Linked DNA regions of Oreochromis niloticus. The protein of the gene in region 1 interacts with the protein of each later gene in a biochemical or structural test. Links are inferred from orthologs where the notes say so. Each region holds a gene or a part of one and is shown in the gene's direction. Other genes may lie near its edges.

Region 1 (4,915 bases):
AACAGAATATCTGAAAAAGAAAAGTGTTTCAGTGGCCCGGTTAAAGTTCAGACCTAAACCTGACTGAAATGCTGCGACAGGAGCTTAAGAGAGCTGCCGATAAACCAAAAAACAAACCGTTTCCCACAAACCGAACTCTAACGTTTCCCACCATGCTGCAAGAGACTGATAAAGTCAGATATAATGCTTCTGTATTTTGGCTTAGTTTTTTTCATTAAATAATGACACAGTGTAGCAACAGTCTTAGGGTCTGTCCACCTAATTTAAAAACTGGATCATTTCTATTATGTCCTGACATGTAAAACCTTAGAACTGACAGATGGATACTTTCTTTCTAACGTGACTGAATCTGATCAATAGATTATATTTTGTACAGTTGAAAAGTTTAATCTATGTTAACACTAGACATGGATAAAAACTACAACTGAAGCACACAACCATTTTTTTAAAAATATAATGAAGAGAGTGTTTTGTGATTGATCAGTATACAACGCAGTCTGGCAGGTGAGTGGGTCATCTACTAATTGGAGTGTCGCTGGATTGATCCCCGACCTCTTCACATCCACATGTTGAAGAGTCCTTAGCCAAGATGCTGAACCCGGCATTGTCTTTGATGCATTCATCAAAGTGTGTGTGTGTGAATGTTAGTGAATGCTTATGCATACAAAAAAATCACTGAATGAATGTGTGTATGATAACACTTCTAAAGCAATAAAGTCCGATTGTAAATTGTAGTTGTAAATGTTTAGTGTCTTCTTCTTGTGGCTTTAGCTGACCACCTTCCTCAATCTCACTCTATCCCCAGTCTCACGCCTCCCCGTCACGATGTAGAGATCGTGGAGGACTACCGGTACCTGGGGGTACACTTGGACTGTGAACTGGACTGGACCAAGAACACCAATGCTGTCTTTAAAAAAGGGCAGAGTCGGCTTTTCCTACTGAGGCGGCTCAGGTCCTTTAATGTTGATAATGTTCTATCACTCTGTGGTAAAGAGTGTTGTGTTCTTTGCCGCCACAGAAAATCCTTTGTGCCAGTGGCAATAAAACTGTACAATTCTTCCTCACTCTGTAGGCGATTTCCTGAGGATTAAAAACAAAGCTATTCTGTTCCCATTCAGATTGTGCAATATCACCCAACAGGTTTCATTGAATGTTTGTTTCATCTCCCCATCATATGCTGCTACTCTTTTATCCATTTGCACAATACTATGTCACTTTTAGAATCACCTGCACTGATAGCTAAGCTATTTATTTTTCAGGATATAATTATATTGTTACTTGCTACAGTTATTCGATATTATATTTTGCACTATCATACTGTATATTACTGTATACTTGTATTCTATTGTACATATTGTATATCTTATTACTCTGTTCCTATGTCTCTCTTGCTGCATTGAGCATGTGTATAACAAAAGAATTTCCCTCGGGATAAATAAAGCTCTTCTTATCTTATCTTATCATGTACTTTACTACAACAATGAACCTTCTCTGAAGTTATCCTCTTTTCCACCTGCCCGGTAGCTCTATTTTCCGCACCCTGACTATCTCTTCTCTGCACATGCCCAAAACACGTCTGCATAGTGTACTTTTCCTTTTATGAAGGACTCCCAGCACCACCTTATCCCACCACAAGATGTCACCAACTACAAAAAAAATCGAGAAACAGGCGACTTACCAGATAAACATGCAACGAGGGACATAAACGGCTTAAGTAGCACACTGATCATTACTAGTGATGTCATGTACTGAAGCTATCTGCAGGTGTCAGTGTTTAAAGCGTTAATACTGACAGTGCAAATGGGCCCGCTATGGCCGGACCGGTGGGCCTTCTCCACGGAGGCGAGGCGTGTGTGAGAGAGGGGAGGAGGGACGTGAACATGTCACGCTCCGGAGCCGTTTTGCCCCCCCGAAAAAAGAAAACTTCTGGAAAAGTTGACATGAAGTAAACAGTCTTTGCTTTTTCACATCTTAACCTCAGTCTGTGGGTGTGGACCACACTGCGGACCGCTGCAGCGACACTTCAGACAGACTGGGAGTGTCGGCGACTGGATTTAAAAAAAAAAATCTGTTGTGAGGAAGGAGCGACAGTCCCGGTTGTAAAATTATCCGAGACTATCGCAGTTATTATTCTTGCTTCCTAAACCCTCAAAACACCCCGAAATTATAACTTATGTGACTTTTCAAGTCGGCCACATGATGGTGCATAAATATGGTGAGTACCGTTCATGTAACGTTATATCTTTTTTTTCCCACGTGTCACATTTTTTTCTTATATACTCGGGTAAAGTTAAAGTTTTTAGGTTAATGCCAGCTCATTACGCCATCAAAGTCATTGCACGGCTTTTCACCGCCCCACTAACCTCAGCTGTAATCCCCTCTAGAAACCAGACTGTTTTAGCCCTCAGGGAATGAGAAAGTTAAGAGTAAGTGGAAATTGCCAGCTTCCGTACTGTTGTTGTTATTGTTGTTGTTGTTGTTTTCTGAGATGTTTTTCTCCTACTCGATCATAATGTTCAGGATTAGGTAGGAAACTGTGAAGTAGTAGATTTACCTTCGTGATGTGCATCAACTCTGCATTCTGTGCTCCTCACCACCCACCGGGTTCAACAACCAGCTGCACAGTCCTGATGGGAAAGAGAGAAATGCCTTTAAAGTGCTCTGCAGGAGAATATAACAGGCAGCAGCAGTGATGCGTTTAGTTAAAAAGATGGAGAAATCTTCCGTCTTTTATTATTTATTTAAATTCTTATAACAGTGTGTCTCTGTGCAAAGAAAAGCAGTAGTAGCAGTATTGCTGGCTACATGTATTTACATTTAGTAATAGTTTAATTAGAGCTAAAATAAAGAGGTAAGTTGAGTGACTGAGAGTAGTCTGGAATTTTTGTATGAACTGATTAATTCCTGATATTTTTGAAAATTGCAACTCCAGAAATGTCGTTTTCTAGCCTCTCAAATGGGATACAGATTCATAAAACTGTCATTTCATTTCCCCTGTCTGTGTGTAGCTTTGCTGCTGCTGTTGTTCTGAGACATGTATTTATTTTGTGAGGCAGACACAGCTAGGGCGGTGAGGCTGCTCAAGCAGTACCAGGCCAACCTGACCAGTCCAGAGGAACAGGCCTTGAAGACCAGCGTGGGCAAAGTGTCTTCCATCTTGGGCAGCCAGCTGTTTCAAGCCCTTCTCGGTAAGCTTGTTTTGAAGAAGAGAGTCTTTCGAAACTTTTCCCTCTATCTTATGTTGCATCAGACCGTTCTTAGGATGTCCTTTCCAAACAACGCTTCCTCTTCACGTGCCTGTCTTCTTAAGTATGGGAGGTATTTTTTTTTTCGTGATCTCTTTTAATTTACTGCGCACTGTTGCCGCACACTATCAGTATTAGATTCAGTGCAGCTCGTATAGTTTGATTTGCGTGGCCGTGTGATTGGCTGAAGGCTGACACAGGATGCAGACGGGGTCAGGTTGTATTAATTTGTATGGGAAGTTAACTGAGTCTAAATGTTTCCCAATTAAGTCTTATGAAAGAGGCCTTTCAGTTTGCCTCACAAAGGCTTGCTGTATAACCACCTCTGTAGCATACTCGGATTGTAATAAAATCCCATTAAAGCAACACTCAACTCAGTCTATCTATAGACTGTGCTGTTATAAACTCTGACCTGTCACACTGTTGAAACACAATTCCTCCTTTAAGTTTTACAAAAATAGGCACATTTATGTCTCATAAAACTGTATCAGCAGGGTATAGATCATTGGTCAGAAAACTATTCACTTTATTCACTTCAGCCAGAAGCAAATGTAACTGCTTCTGGCTAAAGTGTTTACTAATAGTGAATCATGAGTAAATTTTAGTTGTAACCAGCTACACCTTCATGACAACCTGAGTGTGGCGTGTTTTGTGTTTTTGGAAATGAGCCTGTGTGAACCTTATCCTCACTTCCTTTTAGAGCAGATAAGGCACATTACTTCAGTTTAGCAAATGGTTGAGTGGTCCTTCTAATTACCACAGCCATGTTATAATGATGCTTGCCCCTGGGTCTGCTATTGCTTCTGCTGACCCACTGCTGCTTCTTTGCTGGGGATCTAAGGGGGGAAGGGCGGCTATGACTCAGGCAGCAGTTAAAAATGATACGGTGTGGCTCATTTTGCTAATGATGTATACTGAAGGGAGTTTAAGGTATACTTTCTTGTGCTGACTGATGAACCCTTTAAACATAAAGATAAAATGTATTGCTCTTTTTGCGTCTTGTCAAAGGTAAGGGGCTCATTATAGAGACTAATTTGTTGTACCTCATCACCCAGAGTCCACATTTTAAGACCAAATGAGTTGTTAAGTCTCATTTGAAAGGTTTCTAAAAATATAGGCTGGAGCAAATACAGTTAGTTTTTGTACACCACCACGGTGGATAAAACAATAAAAATGTGACTGAGTTTGCATGAATGGTTTAGGAAGTAGAGAATTTAGAAAAAAAAAAAATGCAGTCCCTCATTTTCAGAGGCTCAATTTGCACTGTGAAGCTCTGTGAGATCGGCAGCATTTGCAGCGTTTGATTGGATCTGAGCAGAGAGTGTAGTCCTGTACACTGGAGAATTCATCCTTCTGCTTCTATCAGGAGTCACATCATCAATAAACACCAGTGACCTGGTTTCACTGGCAACCATACATGCCCATGCCATAAAATTGCTCCAGTCATGTGTGTCCGATGATGTGATTTGCTTTGGATTAGGAGTTGTTTCTCTCCTTATCCATACTTTTCTATTCTCATCATTTTGGCACAAGGTAATCTTCATTCATTCATCTCCTAAGATTTTCTCTGCAGGCTCTTTTAGGTGTTTCCTGGACAGGTCTAATTTCCTCTTCTTGTTCTTGGGTTTGCATCTTGTTGTAAACCCTTTGCATTTCCATTCATGAAGGCA
Region 2 (4,915 bases), on another chromosome or scaffold:
ACACATACACTCATTTTGTTTCTGTAGTGTGAAATCTTTAAGCTGACTTTCCATTACTGAATAACCTGGAGTTACTTGAAAGCAGGTCCTTTTGTGCGTGCTGGCACCATCTAAAATTAATGTGTTGTAATTTATCATGTGGGCTTCATACATTTAGAAGCATGTGGTGATGTATAAAAAATACTAATTCCTCATTAAAAATGAGTCATTGTAATAAAGGACAAGAGTGGGTGACCACATCACTGAGCTCCAAGGGTTCCCTCGAAAATTTGCATCACATGCCTTTGTTCTGCTTATATACTCATGACTGAGAATTTAAAAAAAAGCCTAATTTGATGCTGACACATTATTTTTTCCAACTAAAGGGCTTCCACAACTATATTAATAACTTTGAATGAGGTAACAGCATTATCATGAGACCCGCTGGTTTTCATTTAAGTTTAATGCAGTGCAAACTTGCAATACCAATTCAAGGTTGCCGCACAGAAACTTCACAAAGAAGTGGCTGTATTAATAAAGGAAGAGAAATTGAATGTGTGCTTTTGAAGATGTAACATCTATTATTTTTCTACTGTTCTCTTGCAAATTATAAATATAAACCTATAGTTTAGCAAAATATTAATAATAATAATAATATTATTATAGCACACATCAAGGTTGGTTTTGAAAATGGATAAAGCAGGATAAAACATTAAACTTCTGGGATGGCCTTTCCAAAGTCCCGAACTCAACTCTATTGAAAATTTATGGACTATGCCTAAAAGCTGAGTCTGTGCCAGGAAACCAACCAATTTAAATGTACTCCGTCAAGATGAGTAATCAAGTCTTCAACCAAAATTATGTGTATAATTGAGCCTGTATGTGTACTTTTGAAAATCTATAATAAATCCAAGTTTGTGACAGGAGTTCTTCTTTAAAAAAAAATGTATGTTTTAGATCATTCCAACCTGGAAAAGGAACAGTAATGATGAATGGCTGTAAATGTCTGACCAGAGCTGTGGACTGATTGAGGTGACTGTAGCTCAGGTAGAGCAGGTCATCTACTGATGAAGGTTAGTGGTTCGATCCTTGGCTCCTCCTGTCTGCATGCCAAGTATCCTTGGGCAAGATACTAACCCCAAGTTGCTCTCCGATGCATCCATCGGAGTGTGAATGTTGGGAAGCATTAAAAGCTTAGAAGAAAGTGATTGGGTGAATGCGACATGTTGCATAGAGCGCTTTGAGTACTCCAGGAGAGTAGAAAAGCGCTATATAAGACTCAATCCATTTACCATTGATAGTTCTGTTTCTCGGGTCATGGGTCATGAAATGTATCTAATTAATATAACTTTTGTATTTGACGGAAATTATAGGCTGTATTTTTTCAAATGGAAGACTAATTTTAAAGACTTTTTCACCTCTGATTGCTTATTCCCAAAAGCTGACTCGGTTTAATTAACTTAAATATTATAATAAAGAAATAAAGCTTTGGTTTCATTTGTTTATTTTACATGACCAAAAAATTGTTTACTTTCTCTAAAATGAACTTACACTGAAGCATTTTTTATGCTTATGTCTAAATTTGCGGAAGAGAAACGATGGAAAGTTCAAGCTGTTTCTGTCTTTTGTGCTGATTTCTGAGTGGTCATGTTTGTGTTAGAAACCTTGACCACCATAAAGTTTACTATTCAGCAGAAAGCAGTGACTCATGGATAACTTTGATAATTTGCATTACGCACCTCATACTAAGCCAGGAAAACAAAGGCAAAACAGCAAATTTCTCCTTAAGCTTATCAGATCACACGTTACAAGTGTTATAACGTCTAGACGGGACGATCCCGACATGCACACCCTGTCCTCTCATTGGCTGCTCAGGATCTCTGCCGTCAGGTGGTGTTTGGCACTGGCAGAGGACAAATACCCGACTCGATCCCGCTGTATCTCACTGCTCCACCGCGACTTACCTGGAGAAGAAATGGCAAACTCCGACCGAGCCGACACTGCAATAGCCTTCGTCTACAGGGGCACGTTTGTCCACTCGACTCAACAAAAGGCGCTACAGATCCTGAAAGATGCGCTCCTGGGAGTGGATACACAGGGAAAGGTTTGTGGAATTCCAGAATACATTGATTGCGTTTTACATTTGATAAATATCTTGATGATGATTTTTAACTGACAAAAGGGTAAATCACGCAGGCTTCAGGGCGTAAATCTGGTATAATATGCTAGGCTATTTTAATTTTGTCATATAATTAGCTGTTGCTGAGCAACTTTGGCAGTATGGTCAACAGTAAACCCCCTGATACAGAACACTTAATAGCATTATAAATAGACGCCTACAGTACACCTGCCTGATTACAACGTGTGTAATTAAAAAAAAAGATATATAACTTTTAATATGAATGTTTTTTATCCACAGAAAATAATAGATTCTCGTCTCGGTTGTTGTGAACAAAGGAATATGTTTGTAAACTGTAGATGAAAATACATTTTAAGCTAAACGTATTATAAATATACAGCTGTCTATTTTCTACCAAAGCCTCCCCTAAGCTCTCAGCTCTCTCAGCTTGCTTAATTACAAGCACCTTTCTGCACGTATGCTTTTAACCCCCGTCTGATTTCCATTCTGCGGTCAGATTGCTTTTATCGAGGAAGGCAAGGAGTTAGAAAAACTGTCCCAGACCTTTGGATTCAAGACATCTGACATCACTCAGCTGGCACAACAGTAAGCTTATTATATAATCTTGATGTGATTTCAGTAAGTCAGAGATTGTTTGTGTTATAATTTCACACATATAGATATAAAGAAAAGGGATGGATGGATGCTCATCTTTGTATTGGAAGAAATTGATTTATCTCATAGGTCATAAAGCAATTTTTTTTTGGCTTGCTTCATTCGAGTGAGTTCTTCATGCCAGGACTTGTAGATACCCACATCCATGCATCACAGTACAGCTACGCTGGCACAGCATTGGACATGCCGTTACTGCAGTGGCTTAATGCTTACACCTTTCCTGTGGAGTCACGCTTCAAGGACTTGGAGTTCGCCCGCAAGGTCTACACCCAAATAGTGGTGAGATTGCCAGCATCAAGAGATAAGTGAGTTTGGACACTTATCTCTTGATGTCAAACTTTGAACATTTGCATCAGTTAAAAGTTGTTGATGAAAGACATTCAACAAGTGAATAAAGAAATCGGATTGTGACTCAGCCTGTGAGTTAAGGGTCTCAGAAGTGTTGATTTGGTCTTAATCCTGTGATATGATCCCTGTGCTTTACAGAGAAGAACTCTGAGAAATGGAACAACAACTGCTTGCTACTTTGCTACAATTCACACTGAAGCCTCTCTGTTGCTGGGCCAGATTGCAAGTAAATGTCTTATACTAAAACACATGCACAAACACACACTTTAAGCTGAATGTTTATATTGAAGCATTACAGTAGGCCTCTTAATTATTTAAAAATATATCACATTTGTTTTTTATGTGTAATAAGCTACGATAATATTTTTAAATTTCCCATAGTTTAAGATGACAAGATAAGGAAGCTGGACTTTAATAAAAGTGACTAAATATTATCAGAATGCTAGTTTGCCTCACTTCTATACAATCATTGTCATGTGCAGTATGTTATGATGCTTTGACTTAGACTCAGTTATTTAATTTTTTTTCTTGCCTTTCTTCACTCTAACGATATGTTTCATAAACACTGCAAAGAAATGGTCCTTCACCTTTATACCCTAGCTTTATCTTGTTCCTGTCATATTATGTAACACTGAACAAACACGCACATGAATTTATAATGATGTAACTCTAACGCATCAAACCCTGTTATTGGCAACATAACAGAGTCATTTTGTGCAATCAGGGGCATTGAACTCTTAACTTTGTCCTGCTCTGAGTAGCTGTTCCTAGAGAACTGTTGAACAGAGTCATGTGCTTGTGTATAGGCACGTTGGAGTATTTCCAAACCGTATATTTAACATGAATAAAGCTTAAGAAAATACTTGCAACAAACCAATTTGTTCAGTTGAAGTTCAAGCTGGAATACAGCAATAGAGTTTTCTGACAGATCAGACACAAAATGTTTTATCATAGCTGGACAACATAATCTCAGAGTTGTGAAACCACACCTGACAACAGAGGTGTAGATCTGAGATTTGTAGTGACTAGCCTATCGAGCTACACCCTAAAGCATGCCATGATGTGTAATATTGTTCTCTGTAAATGGGAGGGCCATTTATTAAAAGGACATCATGTTCTTTTGTATGGGCTTGAAACTTGTGATCGAGACCATAAACAAACTGGGAAAATGTTTACTGAGGTCATATATCAAGTGAGCAGTAGAGTCATTATCCCATAGAAGTCATTCGCTTGACTTTACAGAGAGAAATCTGTCCATCTTATATGCAGAGATAATAAACAAGCACAGACTAGAGACACCTAGAAAGCTTAAATCACATGTGTGGGCATGTCAATAGATGAAAAATAATGCAGCTGTCTAACGATGGGATGGAAAAGAAAGTGCAGTTTTTCAACTGTCTTACATCCTAACTTGTGTAACCTGATCACCTGAGGATTTTACAGCACAATAATCTGTTTGACAAAGCTTTTTTTATGGTTGCAAACAGTACATCTCTGGTATAAACTCAGCCTGGTAGCAGGAGTATTCCACCTGGACTTTTTCAAAGCATATCACAAGAGGAAACACACCTGTGTACCTAATTATTTCACTTAGCTGCCTCCGTATCAGGCCTCTGGTGTCGTGCTAGCTGAACGACTGACCTGAGCCATGGTTAATCCTATCAAAACAAAAAGCCATACTATTGCAAGCGGTGCTGCTGAACCTGTTTAGCACTAAAATGCGTCAACTTCCACATTACACAATATCTATACTTAGCAAATGACTCTGCGTGCATTTATATCAGATGACTGGCA

Evidence for each region. The genes of interacting proteins can lie anywhere in the genome.
Region 2: the proteins of dlg3 (region 1) and gda form a complex in vitro, tested with the Homo sapiens proteins (2 studies listed by BioGRID and IntAct, with this or other methods). The link is inferred for Oreochromis niloticus from reciprocal best matches to the Homo sapiens genes DLG3 and GDA.

What each region holds. Positions count from the first base shown.
Region 1 is NC_031966.2:19,911,406-19,916,320, forward strand, and holds the start of dlg3 (disks large homolog 3), read left to right. Parts: upstream 1-1,779; 5' UTR 1,780-2,196; coding exon 2,197-2,215; intron 2,216-2,396; exon of another isoform or gene 2,397-2,411; coding exon of another isoform or gene 2,412-2,426; intron 2,427-3,052; coding exon of another isoform or gene 3,053-3,056; coding exon 3,057-3,188; intron 3,189-4,915. UniProt on the Homo sapiens protein: Required for learning most likely through its role in synaptic plasticity following NMDA receptor signaling.
Region 2 is NC_031977.2:13,938,451-13,943,365, reverse strand, and holds the start of gda (guanine deaminase), read left to right. Parts: upstream 1-1,880; 5' UTR 1,881-1,954; coding exon 1,955-2,083; intron 2,084-2,615; coding exon 2,616-2,704; intron 2,705-2,880; coding exon 2,881-3,052; intron 3,053-3,259; coding exon 3,260-3,347; intron 3,348-4,915. UniProt on the Homo sapiens protein: Catalyzes the hydrolytic deamination of guanine, producing xanthine and ammonia.